Linked DNA regions of Ovis aries. The protein of the gene in region 2 interacts with the protein of the main gene of each other region in a pairwise test. Links are inferred from orthologs where the notes say so. Each region holds a gene or a part of one and is shown on either strand. Other genes may lie near its edges.

Region 1 (7,125 bases), on a different chromosome or scaffold from region 2:
CCAGCCCTGTATACATTTGCTCCCTTTGAGAAGGGATATTACTATCACGTATTGGATATCTACACTATGTCCAGCACTGAGCTTTGATATTTCATATAGTTTGTTCATCTCAGCCATCTGGAAAGGATTATTACTCCTGCCTTGCAGATGAGAGCTCTGATGTTCAAAAATTAAAGTGTCACCCCCATGGTACCCTGACTGGTAAGTGATGGAGGTGGATGGAGCCCCGCTGTATATGCTCCAGAATCACTCGCATGGAGATCATGGGGCCACGGTGTCTACCTGCCTCCCTAGATTCTAATTGAGGTGGTCATGCTTTCTCCTGAGCATCTCCCTGGTCTCCTCCTCTAGTTTATGAACCTACAGCTTTGCCTTCTGCCAAGGATGAAGGGGTTCATCTCACGTATTTACACATATTTGAATCTTTACTGTCAGCTCTAACTCATAACATCAAGTTGGGCCTGTTACGCAGTCTTTCCCTTGCCCTTCTTCCATGGGATGAACACTGACTTTTGCATACCCATTCACCCCCAGGGTGGCATCTGCCAGACCACACATTCCACTCTGGAGGGGGCCATCTGAGAGCTGCCTGGGCCCATCCCTTGGCCTGTGTGTAGGACAGTGTGTGTGCCTGAAGAATGCCCGGGCGGCACACGAGCCGTGATTCAGAGGGGTAGCTGCCAATACACCTGAGGGCACAGAATCCACTCTGCTGGGCTGAGGAGGGGCCACCCCACTGTGCTGGGCTGAGGAGGGCCCACCCCACTGTGCTGGGCTGAGGAGGGCCCACCCCACTGTGCTGGGCTGAGGAGGGCCCACCCCACTGTCCTGGGCTGAGGAGGGCCCACCCCACTGTGCTGGGCTGAGGAGGGGCCAGCTCCTCTGTCTGGCAGATGATCTGTTTTTGGTAAGACTGCACCAGGCAGGGTATAGCGGAGAAATAAGGCCACGTGGAAACAAAGTTGTCACTGTGGCTTTTAAAATCAAATGAATAGCCGTTACAAACTTCTGCCCAAAATCCTTCAAAAAGGGATAAGAATGACCCTGACCCCACTTCCAGCTCTTCCTCAATCAGTTCAAGCTGAATGAAGAGCAATCCTATTTGGAACAAGAAGATGGATACAATTCAGGATGGTGGATGTCCTCTCTGAGTCCCCTCAACTTTCTTCAAAATGAGAACAACTGGCTTTGGATTTATTATCCAATTATTTATTGGATATTATTTATCACCCAATCATTATGCAATCCTTGAATCCCAAAGACCATCCTTAGAGCAAAACATTCTCTCTGAAGGCCGAGGACATGGGAAAGCATGGTTCTCCACAGGGAGGGGAGTAGGGGAATCTCAAACTGGGAGATTTGGGGAACTGGGCAGGATGAGAATACAGAACAGGAGAGTAGGCTGTGTAACTCTGCTGTGTCTGGGAGTGAAGCTGCCCTCCCCAGGAAGTGGGATTTAATAGGAGGTGCCCCTGACCAACCTATGTTAGTCAACCTTGTGTTGGTGCCAGGGCCCCAGGTTCCTACCAAGTCATACTTTAGAGCTAGCCCCAAGCTTCCCTGTTTATCACAGAAATTAATAAAAAATAAAGTGAGCTTTCATCAGGTTGCATCTTAAGAAGCAGTTCAACCCAATGCATTGTGGTGGACCATGCAGGAAAGGCCTTCTTTCTTGAAGGCTGGGGTGGGGAGGTTCTGAGATAATACGTGACTGAGCTCGTCATGGGAGACCCCGTTGGCTGTGACAGGCCTGGTTCTCACCCAGGGCCAGGAGCAAGGTGGTAGGCTTTTGGGTGTGTGTCTGTGTGTGTGGAGTGTACACAGAAACTGTCACAGCCACACCTCACATGCACCCACACCCGACATGCCAGAGCAGGGCGCAGTCCTTTGTTGTCCTTACCTTAACTCTCTCAGCATTTTCAGAAACACTGAGCCTTGATGCGTTGGGTCCTTAAGGACATGGTCCAGAAATGCTCAGCAGACCTACAGCGTACATTTTCAACCCGCTTCCCTTTATCCGCCCCCCATATTTGGGCATCGTGAACTCCAACCAGGCCATGTCTCTCAACAGTATTTATTTCCTAAGGGGAAGCAGGGGCTATGTCCAGCTATGTCCGATCTTCAAGCTTGTATTCGTAAGCCCGCACCGCCTACCCACAGTACCCTCTGGCGTATTTGCAAGTTGCACGACTTGGTCAGGGAATTTGGGATTAATATGAGTCATTAGACGGCTACTTTCCCAAATTAAAGAAGAAGCCACAATACTAAATATGATCCTGAACATTTAATCTCTGCTGTTTCAGAATACACTTTAGAGCTTAGAGACCTTTCAGGTTAGACTTCTGCTGGTGACTGCCGGTCCTGAGGGTGCTGTGTGGATGGACAAGGGGAGGGGAGAGGTCTGCAGTGTGGGCGGAAATGGGAGCCCAGCTCTGATCTCAGCTCTGTCACTAATGGCACAGTGACCATGATGAGCCACTTCCCTTCCCTAAAAGGATTGGACTAGAGTGTCTCTATGGCCCTCCCAGCTCTGACAGTCTATAAATAAATAATTAGCAGAGAATGTAATGTGCTGATTTTCCATAGGAATTGAGGAAATCAAAAAATAACTTGCAATCATGTAGACAAAGGCTTTCAAGAGTTTCTCGGTATTTACAATGTCTCTAGGCTTGAGTTCCTAACTCACTGTTGACCCAGCCCTGGCTTCAGTGCTGTGCAGATGGGAGATCCAGAGCAGGAAAAACAGGGATCTCGGAGTCAGGGCCTGTCGAAGTTTATTACTGAGTTTAACAAGCCCAAGGACAAGACCCTTCCCAGGGGAAGTGTGATGTGCAGACATTCATCCCGCCTCCACAGACCAACAAGAGTGTCAGGATGTGTCTGATCCTTGGGACTAAGGACAGTGAGAGAGGGCCACAAACAGACTCCTTGGCTGTGGGCCCCTGTCCAGAAGGCCTGAAGCGAGAGGGGACTCCAGCAAGGGCTGAGCCAGTCTCCATCCACTGCAGGGATTCTAGGGGCACCACATTTCACGTGACCCTGCATTTGCCTAATGTCACAGGTACATCTACTGTCTCATTTGACTATTTTTCTCAGGCTCAGCCATGCCTCTCCACTCAGTTCTAGGCTGAACTCTACCCGACATAAGAAAATTTTCAACCAGAGCAGAATTCTGAGCAATGACTCCTTGTGTCATATAAATAGCATCAGTGATATATACAGCCTATAATACGTGCGCGCGCACACACACACACACACACACACACACACACAGCCATTTGCACAGGTACTGCAATGCAGGAGACCCAGGTTCAATCCCTGGGTCAGGAAGATCCCCTGGAGAAGGCAATGGTAACCCACTCCAGTACTCTTGCCTGGAGAATCCCATGGACGGAGGAGCCTGTAGTCTCCTCCGGGGTGCAGTCCACGGGGTTGCAAAGAGTCAGACATGACTGAGCGGCTTCACTTTCATTGGCACAGGTGCTCTGAATATAAATGTGTGGTCCAGTCTCTCCCCCAGCGAGAGGAGACCACTGGAGAGGAGCTGACCCCGTGCAGCTCCTGAGTCACGCTCTGGGTCCCAGCCTGAGCAGTGGGGTGCGGGGAGGGGCTGTGCGGGTGGGGCTGGTGGCCAGCGGCCTACTCCTTCAGCAGGCCCAGCTTCTTCAGCGCCTCCCTTCTGTGTTCATCTGACACTCCCTTTGGGGAGATCCTGACACTGACACAGGGGGGCCGGGGCAGCTTGTCTCGGCTCTGCCCCTGGTAAGACAGGCGCTTGGGGGCCCCCTCCTGCTCCAGGTCAGCCAGCTTGCCCACCTGGATACCCTCAAAGTCCTTCCCAGTGCCCAAGGAGGCCGGGCGTGGCCGGGAATTACGCAAGATGCTGGGCGAGATCCGGTCCAGGTAGGAGCCTTTTTCCAGAGAGGTGCTGGTTTGGGGGCTGGGAGCCTTCTCGGCTGAGAGGTAGCTGCTCAGCCCAATGCCTGACCGCTCCAGGGTGTTGGACTTGAAGCTCATCTGTCTGAGGCCAGGGACGCCACTCTCCTGGAGGGTCAGCCCGGAGTCTGGCTTTTGCTGAGTCAGGGGACTGTGTGCCCGCGGGCCCTTTGGGACAGGAATTGGCATGGATTTGGCAGCTGGCGCTGTCCCTGGAGTGGGTTCCTGGGTGGGAACCAGAACCTTGCCTGGAGAAGGCGGTTGGGCCAGAGCTGGTGCTTTCCCGGGAGAAGGGCCCTGCTTGGGTGCAGGGGCCGGGGCCCTTCCGGGGACCTGAGCTGGGGCCGGGGACTCGGCCTGAGTGCCAGTCTCCTTGAGCCTAATGGAGGGTCTGCTTAAGCGGAGGCTGGGCTCCTCCTGGTCCTGCGGCAGCCCCAGCTTCTCCAGCGCTTCCCTGCGTGCCTTCCTCTGCTCCTGCAGCGAGGACGAGGCGGGGCTGGGGTCCCCGGGTGCAGCCTCCAAGTGGCAGGACAGCCGGTTCCGGGGGTCACTGTGGAAACTGCCTCGGCTGCTCTTCAGGACAATGTTTGGTGGCAGTTTCCGGGGCTTAGGGGCCGTGAGGGGGGCCGGCTGGGCACTTGGATGGCCCCCTGACAGGACGGCCGCATCTCCAGTGCCTGCATCCTGAGAGGACACCAGGGGAAGAGGCCGAGGTGGCGCAGGTTCCCCGGTTGAACCTTTCTCACTGGCTTTTTGGGACATGGCCTCTGGAGCGGGCTTCCTGTTTCTCTGGGAGCTAAGTGATGGGTGGACCTGGGGCCTGGGGCTCAGCTCCCCTGGTCCTCTGGGCAGGCTGCCTTGCCCACGCTGCTCGGGCTGGATGTCCTGGAAAGCCTCCGGTGGGGGGATGAGCGCTCCGTCCAGCTCAAGGGCAGCGTCTGGGGGCGCGGCCAGTGCCTGGCTGGGCTCACGGCTCTGGCTGACCTGCTCTGTCTCAGGTGCCGAGAGAAGTCCCTCGGATCCCCCTGGATTATGGCTGTTAGTCGGGGTGGTGCTTTTTCTGAGGTTCTGGTTTCTGCCGATGTGGATATTTCTGGGGAGGCTATAGGAGCCAGACCTGAGGCTCAGGCTTTGGGGCCCGGGTGGATGAGCTGAGCTGAACGGAGTCACTCTTTTTGGCTCTGGTCCTTGGCCAGTTGTCTCCTTGGGATGTCCTGTAAGAGTCAGGGGAACAGGTGAAGAAGAGTAGGCAGTGAGAACCCTGCTGTCAAGGGGAAAGGAAACACTTCCCACACTCTGATCTCCAGGTCGCAATGGACGGGTTTTGTCTGCTTGTTTGTTCTTGAAGGACAATGCTTTTGTCTGGATATCATTTAGACAACAGATCAATCCTAGCAGATTTCCTTCAACCAGGGATTAGCATTTCCTGGTGGCTGGGCAAAGGGCAGCCCAGACAGCTCTGTGTCCCTGACTCAGGCTCTTCCTAACCTCTGCAGATACAGGATGGTTGGGATTCAGGACAGTCCCTCCCGCTGTCCTGGGGCTCCCAGGTAACTGAGTCCAGTGGAAGCACTGAGCTTGAACAGCATCAACAGGTGATTTGCTCTCGCCCCACCAGGCATCTGCCTTCTTCCACCTCCACTTCCTGTAAACACCTGGATGACTCTGTAATGGCCACAGCTGTCCCTGCGCCACAGAGTGATACGGGCTCTTCCCTTCCAGTGAGTAAGCATAAGCACCAGGCCCACTGGGCCAGGAAATCAGCCTGCTGTATCACCAGAGACAGTGGGTCTAACATATTGTCAATAAATATTTCCCAAGTGTATGAGGTGATGGCAGTCCTAATACCAATGGGACTGTCTTCCTGGGATCTATGGCCACACTTACATGCCATCTGTGTCTCCATCTACTGAGCCACAACGTCATTCCACACTCTCTTACAAGGCCCTCAAGGTGCCACCCACTGAAATTAAGGGAGCCCCTCCCTCTGCTTATCTCCTGCAGCCTCATCCTCTGGGTCACCCAGATTAGCTCCCCAGACTGACTCAGGTTTTCCAGAGCCACCCACCCACCCCTCACTGCTTCTCTCTCCCACCTCGGTGGTCATATGGCTTTAGAATGTCTCCATAAGAGTGGGAGCCGGTCAAATCCCCTTCCCTCCCAGACTTTGATACTTCATACAAAGACACAAGAAGCTGTCTTGGACAATCCCTCCTTCCCTCCAAGGACAAGGCTTTATTCTAGCCCCAAGTAGAGAGGAGAGTGCTTATTCCTTCTTCTGCCCATGACTCAGAGCAGAGGGCAGACAAGAGGGAAAGCGGCCAGAAAGATGTAGTATTTTTTTGTTTTTTTAGACAGTCTGTCTTACCCTGGGGGGCAGGCTGCGTCGTGGGCAGTGCTCGGGGACCTCGGGGAGTTGTGGCTTGCTCAGACTCGTCAGTGGACAGCCCGCTGTCAGCCTCAGTGTCCAGGGAGCCAATGGTTTCCTCCAGGAAAAGCAGACACTCCTTCTCTTCAGCGGACAGGAAATCGTAGCTGCTGTCACTCTGGAGTGAGGAGAGGGCGGGGGAGCTGTGACAGGCAGCTCTCCAGAAACTGGTGGGGCCCAAGAGCCACCCTGCCTTGGGGAAGGAATGCTGAAGAGCCGGACGCCTGCCCACCATGCCACTCTGCAGACCTGCTGGAGCTGCTTCCTGAAGCCGCAAGCACCGGGAGGGCAGAGCCTGTTGGGCTGCGGTCCCCTTGGCACCCAGCTCCGACAGCTGGGCAGGCAGACTGCAAAGGGCTTTTCATTTGCTAAGTCCTGGGTGGAATGCTTCCAGGCACAGATTAGAAGGTCCTGGGTTCTAATTTTACTTCCTCTGTGTGACCTATGTCAAGTACTTCAACTTTGTGTGTAACATAATGATTTGATCTTAAACCTGAAGCAATACCTAAAATGGCATTACTTTGAACTTTTCAAAGCACTTCTGCATCCTTGATCTGGCATGTCAAGGACAGCATGAGAACAAATAGGAAAGAGAGTCAACTACTCGCTGACAGGCCAATAGGAACAGTGGCACGACGAGTCACAGATAAACTCACTAAATAATTTATACTTGACTTTGAAATGCATTCCATGCAGAATTGTTTTTCCCCTTGTGTATTTACTTTCCTGACGGCATTTGGCTCTGGCTAACGTTGAAACAA
Region 2 (8,524 bases):
TGCAAGAGAGGAGAAAGACTTGTAGGAGAGAAGAGAAAAACATAAGGTTGGGCAGAACAGTGGAAATGAACTAGGTATTACACATGGGACAATGAACAAAAAACCATCCTGACTTGACAGTCAAGTATACTTTGAGAAGGACAAAGTAATGTTGGACATCATGCTGATGGGAACAGAGCAGTAGAATTTCAAAGCATTATCAGCAGTGTGATTTTTAAAAAAATCTTTATTGAAATATAGTTGATTCACAACAGTGTGTTAGTTTCTGCTGTACAGTGAAATGATTGTTATACACATATCTATTCTCTTTCAGATTCCTTTCTCATATAGGTTATTACAGAGTATTGGGTAGAGTTCCCTGTGCTACACCCAGATGTATGATTATCTGTTCTCCATACAGTAGTATGTATGTGCTCATCCCAGCAGCCAGTCTATAGAATCATAGTTGGTTAGAAATGCTATCATTTTCAACAATCAGGGGTTGGAGTGGACACGATCTCCTGAGACTGCAGACCTGGAAGCCGCTTTTGAGGTCCTGCTCATGTTAAGTAGATGTAGGAAGAGAGGAAGTTCACAAGTACATTCTCAGCTACGTTAAGGGTGGGGATAGATCCACTAATGAGGCCACATACATTTGTAGCTAATGCAACAATAGCCATTCAAGATTGCTTCCTTTCCCAAAGCTGGAGGCAACATAGCAATGACTTCCTTTCCCTGCAGAGGAGCCTGCTCCCCGAGGAGTGTGGGAAACCAGAAAAGTGCCACCATTTACTGCCAGCCCATCCTGACAGATACTGGATAAAGGAAGGGTCGTAAACATACAGAAGTGAGAATCAGTGGAGAATAGAATTTCCAAGTTTCAGTAACACTGTCTGATTGCTGCTGCATTCTGCAGGCTTCCCTTTTCTCCCTTTACTCTCAGCTCTCCCAATTTCAAATGAGGTGCAGCAGCACTGAGACTCATCCATCTTTAACAACGGCTGCATAAATGTCTTTTAAATTCTTGGTTTTGGAGTAGCAATTATTGGAGCACTTCGCTAATCAACGCCTGGTGAGTCTAATCTCTGAATATCAGACAATTAAATAAAAATGCCTGAACACTCGATGGTAAATTAGCAACACCAGTTATTGAAGTGATACGTAAGTATTTTTTCACATTAAGGTAACAGTATTTCCTGGTGGCTCAGATGGGAAAGAATCTGCCTGCAATGCAGGACACCTGTGTTCCTTCCCTGGGTCAGGAAGATCCCCTGGATCTTGGCAACCCACTCCAGTATTCTTGCCTGGAGAATCCCGTGGACAGAGGAGCCTGGTGGAATTGCAGTCCATGGGATTGCAAAGAGTCAGACATGACTGAGTGACTAACACTATGATATAACTTATAATGACAGTGGCCTTGATTCCTTGAGCTACCAGAACAAAGGACTGACACTATATGACTATTTCAGGCAGTGAAAAATTCCAGGTCTGCACCATTTCCTCCTATAAACCTGTGCTGCGCACATCACATTGATGTGAAATCAGATGAGATAATCATGTGAAGGTGGTTTGTAATGAAGTTATAAAATGCTCAAGAAAACATTATTATTATTGAACATTATTATTATTATTATTGAATGATAATTCAATGAAACATAAAAGAATGTATTGGAAGGTCACTCATAGGTCAATATTTTCAAATTTTAGAAAATATGCTTATTCTTTGGAACTAAATATACTGAATTACATTTTTGAAATGTTATTTATTACAAGTTTGGTATACTGATAACAGTAATCTGAAGTGCCCACCAGAATGAAATACATGCATGAAAATAAAATTATTTATCTCTTTGTAATGCCTTAAAATACTGTGTTCTGAATGTATACAGATATGTTTAAAAGGATATTCACTGCGACACTGGTGTGGCAAAATAACCAAACAAACAAAACCAAGCTGGAAACCCCTGTGTCCATCATTATGGATTTGTTTGAGTGAGTTGCCGGACATTCGTATCGTGGAATGCCGAAGAAAAGAATGAAGTAGACTTTGTAAGTACTAACATGGAAAGATATCCAGGAGCTATTAATAAGAAACATAATGTGCAAAGCAGTGCGTATTGTATGCTTAGTATGTTTCAAGAGCTATATAATTGTCAAGGGATTACCGGGGAAAAGTCTCTGTACCATAATACATGCTAGTAAACAGGAAACCATTCTGGCGGAATACCTGCTACTCCTCTGTTAATAATGGCTCTCCATAGTCCAAGAGCTTGACTTTCTACAAACAATGTCATAACGTTTGGACTTCTTTTTATAATGAGCTTACTCTCTTTTCCTGAGCATAAGCAGTCAAGGCTTTTACAAATGACTGAAACGCCTGTGCATCAAACAAAACCTAAATACATTGATGAGCAGGTATGATTGACTTTGAATCATATATTGAAAGAAATATTGAAGGTTTGAATTGCTAACGCCAAATAGAGTTTAATTCCACTTGTTGAGACCAATTCGGAATTATGGGGCTTCGAAAAAAAAGTCTCAAAATATTGATCCCACTGCTTGAAGGCACCAGGCAGTAAGTTCAAAATAAGCTCCAAAGTCTCCATCAGTCTAAAACATCTTTTCCTGCTAACATAAGCTGAAACAAAGATGAGTTTTATCCTCTTGGAAGAGTTTTAGGTTTTGTTTGTGACCAATAAATCAAAGGCCCGCATGTCTGTTGAATGCACTCTAAGCCCCAGAGAGAAACCGGCACAAATGGCTGGAACATAAGTCGAACAGGGTCAACTTGGACTTGCACAAAAGGAAGCGCTGGTAGTGACCAAAGTTAGCTTTGCTGTTTGCTGGAGCAAAGCACCAAGAGTGTGAACTGCTTGCCAGGGGAGGCATTTGAAAGATTCAGGCACTTCAGAGATGAAAGATTACATTTCCTTCGTTTGTCCATTCCCACACCTGTTAAAATGCCTGGATGATGGCTGAATATAGAGAAAACCATAATTGCTATTAAAATTTTTCTGGATATTTAGCAGTATGCAAAACAAATCTCATGCAGACACACAAAACAAGAAAATCTCAGTCTGTGAAGTCTGTGTGGTTGCACGCCATTAAATAATTTTCCCCTTGTGGTTTTTAAACTGGGCAAGCCACACACTTAAACACAAACATACATTTGAAAAGCAAGATGATTTCACAAAAGTTATGGTTTCCTTTTACACATGAAAGCATGCACATGAGAGAAAAATTTCTTCAAGACTATTTGCAAAAATAGTTTGGTTCTAGATTGTCTCTTTGAAATCTTCAAAACTAGTTATAAATGTAGTATAAGAGAGGAAATTGTTCTTTCGGTATCCTGTGACTGCTTCAGCTGGTTCAATAGACTTTCATTATAGGCAAAGATTCACAATATAAAATGTCTTTTGGAATTTGGAAGTTAGGTTCCATAAATTCACTGTCTCTTCTGCAATATCATATGAAAATGTAAATATAGGAGAATTAAATAATATCTCTTTCTAAAAGAATAAAGATTAAAATAGAAAATGAAAGCTCATATCCTCTAGTAAGTATTTACCACAAGTTCCTAGAAGCCTCCTAGGAAATCTGAGATCCAGGATCCATACTGCTTATAATAAAGAATATTGTAAACACCAATATGTTTATAATTTAAACATATGAAATCACATCTAATCATTTGAGAATGGCATAAATAAACTTCAAACTTTAATTTAAAATACAGTTACTTAAGAAACCAGTCAATAGATAGCATAAGCTTAAGTTTTGCTTTAATTCAAGCTAAATAAGTAACACTTTTAACAGCTAAAATTACATACATTGGTGGATTTGAAAAGCTGAAGAAATTGACTGCTAGGTGAGTTACAACATAATATAATAGAGCTATACTTGTTTTCAACTAATTTTAATTAAAGACTATTCAACATAATTATTTTGCTTTTATTCTTGCAAAAAAACAGTGAACTGTTTACATTATGTTGCATAAATGTATTTGCTTCTACTTGTATAATTGTGCTACGACACAGCACTCCTAGGTTCTGGTGTTTACATATATGCAAAACATTTTATACTGTGTACAGTGACATTCACTTCATAGAATTATAATGAGGGATGACAGTGTGTAGAAAGCAAAATAAAAAAGCAAGGATACATTTGTTGATTTCGAGTTGATCCCATGTAACTCTTAAAAACTTTGAGTCAAAAAGATTTTAGAGTGAACAGTAAATAAGCATGAATAGCCACAAGGTTATTAGTGTTCGAAGAATGGGTTACAAATATGCCATGATGCAAAGACTACAGTTCTTTAGAATAAACGCAGGTAAGTTACTCTACATTTTTTCACACTCGGTGTTTCAAACAAGAGAAATTTTATAAGAAAATTAGTGTTCATGTAATTCCAGAAATTTCCCTCATATTAAAATTTCCTGATCAGCCAAAAAAGGCACTTCACATAAAAGAAAGCTATTGAAATGTTTTCCTCAAATACAGTTCAGTGAACATTTGTTCTTTGTTGACTTTATTACACAAGTGCTCACATGAAGAAAAATATCGATCCTGTCCTGCTGAGCAGGGGTCATAAAAGATACTCAAATAATCGCAACGCAGAGTGATGAGTGCAGTTATGAGTGCCTGTATTGTTGCAGGAGTAGCAGAGGAAGTAGTGGACGCCTGGGTTTTTAGGGATGACTAGGAGCACAACGGGAAGATAAGGGGCGGAAAAGGGTGCCTCCTACCATCTGTCTCATTGTTCAGTCACGAAATAAAATATATTATAATTCTATAATAATTTTGAAGGAACTAATAATAAATCAAAAAATTTTTACGAGTACAAATCACCTTAGCATTAAAATCAATTATTGTAAGTCATTTTGATTCAACAAAAGAGACTTTTAAATCTGCATATTTGAAAGTTCTATCGAAAAAGTTGGTCAAAATAAAAAGGCACCTCCTAACTTGCAGACAGGTGGAAGAGGGAAATAAAGGCACAGACTCAGGTGCCAGACTGCCAAAGTTTGATCTCAGGCTCTGCCTTTGACTTGCTGTGTGAGTAACGTGTGTGTGGGAAGTTACTTAACCTCATGACCCCTCAGTTTAGTAAAACAGGGATGATAATTACTGTCGCTGATGACTGGTTCAAAACCAACCTGCTATTCTATCTAAGGGGCTGAATTTTCCTTGATAAAAGTCCCAGGAAAGAACACCCAGGACTTTCACCTTGGTCTCTGACCAGTGATTCCAAATTTGTTGAGTTGAATCCATTCAGCAGAAACCATGATCAATGAGTCAGCTGGGAAGGGAATCCACCTCTTTTCTGCTTGCTGCACAAATGCTGAAGGACTGTTTCATAGACTCTCTTGGTACTGAGGGCAAGTTTCCCAATATGGGAAGTAAGCCTGAAGCCACTTAAACTCTCACACACACACACCATATATATATTTTCCTCCCACCAGAGAGAAGGAAGATTAACCAAACCGTTCTAAAGTCAGCTAATAAAGCACAAGCATATCAAAATGAAACTCTGCCATAAAGAAGCAAAACTCAGCATTAGAATTCTGACAAACTTACCTGCTGCTGCTGCTGCTGCTGCTGCTAAGTCGCTTCAGTCGTGTTCGACTCTGTGCGATCCCATAGACGGCAGCCCTTCCCCGTCCCTGGGATTCTCCAGGCAAGAACACTGGAGTGGGTCGCCATTTCTTTCTCCAATGCATGAAAGTGAAAAGTGAAAGTGAAGTCGCTCAGTCATGTCTGACTCTGTGCAACCCCATGGACTGCAGCCCAGCAGGCTCCCCCCCGACCATGGGAGTTTCCAGGCAAGAGTACCTAGCAGGTAACGAAAGCAAAATGCCCAGTGAGATTTCCGGGCACTGTGTCCTGCCCTGTCACTGACCTTGACACATTAATAACACAGACCTCAGTGGGACTGCCAGACTACATCATTATCTCTGCACACAATTTAATACGGACAAGGGACTTCCCCGGTGGTCTAATAGTTAAGAATTGGCCTTCCGATGCAGGGGACGAAGTTCGATCCCTGATTGGGGAACTAAGATCCCACAAGCCACGGGGCAACTAAGCCTGCTTCAGGCAGTTAGAGAAGCCGGTGTCTTGCAGCTACTGAGCCTGCACCCTCTAGAGTCCTTACTCCACAGCAAGACAAAGAGTAGCCCCTACTCCCTGCAACTAGAGGAAGCCACAGGTAGCAACGAATACCCGGCGCAGCCTATACATGTGTGTGTGTGAGAGAAACGTGGCAGAGCAGCCAGGAGTCACCAACAGCCACTTGCAGGCGTAGCATAGCACACTGGTAGCTCCTTTCTGCTTCTTGAATGCTATTGTCAGAATGAGAATAGTAGCTAAGATTAACTGAGCACTTGATATATGATACTCATTTTGCTAAAACCTTTTTCCATATTGCCTCATTTAGTCTTCAGTCCCACGTAAAAAGCACCATTGTTATACCTATTTTACAGAGGAGGAAATTAAGGCACAAACTTGTTGCGAAGGCCATATAATTTTTAAGGTCCCGTCATTTTTGAATGGAGGATCTAACCCGAAAGGACACACATACCTTTTGCCCTCTACTACAATCGTCTCCACTGTCTAATCCCAGAGGACACACATACATTTTGCCCTTTACTGCAATCTTCTCCAATCTCTGGAAGGAAAGAAAGATTTTTCTATTGTGAGCGAAGGACAAGATGTGAGTAAGTTTAAAAGCAAACACCACTGGTTTTAGGCAAACGTATAAAAAAAGATCTATTTCTCTTTGGTTCCTGTCTGCTTCCATTTCTAAAGCTTTCTCCTACACTGTTTTGTTTCTTTTCTGATTTGGAGTGCAAATTTAATACTGTTGATTCTGTTATAAAGTTTGGTATTGCAAAATAATATTTGATTTTCTAATCATGATCACAAGTCTCTAATTTCTCGTGTGTTTTATACCAGATTCCTTACTGCCCTTCCCTCCTGTCACTGGTGACAGACTCTGGTGCTGGTTAGCAGAGAAAGGCAATCTTCCTGCCACCCCAGATGGGCCTTAACACCAGTCCCTTCTTCGATTTTTCAATGCTCAGCAACAGCCTTCTTGGCTCATCTCCAAAATTTCCTGAGAACATAACATTGTTGTGAGGGACTCTGTGTCAAGTGTATCAGGCTTTAGGCTTGTTTCTCGTTACTGACAGGTAAATTTGTATGGATGAATTATCTAAAATCCTGGCCTCTAAAGACTTTAAGTTACAGTGACAACCTACATGGTCTTGAGTTCATAGCTGGGTACAGCTTCTTAGAAACAGAATTCTTGGGCAAAATGACTGCAGTGTATTCTGATTTTCAGACCCACATGTTTGACGATCACGTAAAATTAGAGCTTAAAAGATCACTCCGTCCAAGGCTTTTAGAGATGAGGAAATGAAAACCCTGGGAAGTTAAGAACTATCCTATAGTCACACGACTTATTAAAGCTTGTACCAAATTAGGAACGAGATCATCTTATCATAGCTCTTCTAGTAAACAAACAACAAGACTGAAAGCAATATGGTGCAGAAGGACCACCTGCCTAGGAACAAGGAGAGCTGGGGGTTAGCTGATTCTTCCACTACGTGACTTTAAACTAGTAACTTCTCTGGACCAATTTCTTCAACTATAAACTGATGGATTTGGTCCAGTAAGATAGTCATTATTTACAGATGTGGTTACTGAGCACAAGTTCAAATTAAAATTATCTGTAAGTATAAAATATCTGTATAATTTCAAAGACTTAGTACTATAAAATGTAAAATATCTCATAATATCACTTTTACATTAATGACATGTTGAATACTAATATTTTTAATATTTGGGATTAAATGAGATGTATTACTAAAATTATTTTTGTCTGTTTCTTTTCCTGTTTAAAACGTAGTTACTAGGAAATTTAAAATTACCTATGTGGTTTCCTTTATCTTTCTACTGGGCACACTACAATAGGAGATCTCTCAGGCGGTTTTTAGATCAGGAGTCAGCACGGTTTTTCTGTTGTTGTTTGCGAAAGGCCAAATAGTAAACATGTGAGGCTCTGGGGACTATATGGTTTCTTTTGCAAGTGCTCAAGTCCACCCTAGCAACACTAAAGCAACCACAAGACAATACATGTAAGCTTGGCTATGTTTCAATAAAACTTTACACATACACACAAATGGGTGATTTATACAATCCATACACCAAAAAATGTGGCTGTGTTTCAGTAAAATTGCTGTTAAAAAAAACAAACAATGGGCCGGATGTGGTCCACAAATTTGCTGAAGTTTGCCATCCATAGTCTATGAGTCGATTCCGTCTTTCTCCCACCCAACATTTCTTGAGAAGCTATTCTGTGTGGAAGATAAAGATCCAGACTCTGCCTCTAGTCTAAAGGAGAGTCAGGAGCATAAACACATAAGCTATTGGATACAGTGAGCACATCACTGTAATCAAGGCGGTTAGAGAAGGCTTCTTAGGAGCAACAATTGAGTTAGGGGCCTGAAGAATGAGAGAGGAACTTTCTGATTTAAAGAAACAGACA

The links. The genes of interacting proteins can lie anywhere in the genome.
Region 1: the proteins of HOMER1 (region 2) and C12H1orf116 interact in binary tests that used the Homo sapiens proteins (3 or more experiments, as listed by UniProt). The link is inferred for Ovis aries from reciprocal best matches to the Homo sapiens genes HOMER1 and C1orf116.

Annotation. Positions count from the first base shown.
Region 1 is NC_056065.1:4,646,556-4,653,680, forward strand, and holds the end of C12H1orf116 (specifically androgen-regulated gene protein), read right to left. Parts: intron 6,483-7,125; coding exon 6,305-6,482; intron 5,151-6,304; coding exon 3,640-5,150; 3' UTR 2,059-3,639; downstream 1-2,058. UniProt on the Homo sapiens protein: Putative androgen-specific receptor.
Region 2 is NC_056060.1:10,524,919-10,533,442, forward strand, and holds the start of HOMER1 (homer protein homolog 1), read right to left. Parts: upstream 5,839-8,524; 5' UTR 5,697-5,838; coding exon 5,554-5,696; intron 1-5,553. UniProt on the Homo sapiens protein: Postsynaptic density scaffolding protein. Binds and cross-links cytoplasmic regions of GRM1, GRM5, ITPR1, DNM3, RYR1, RYR2, SHANK1 and SHANK3.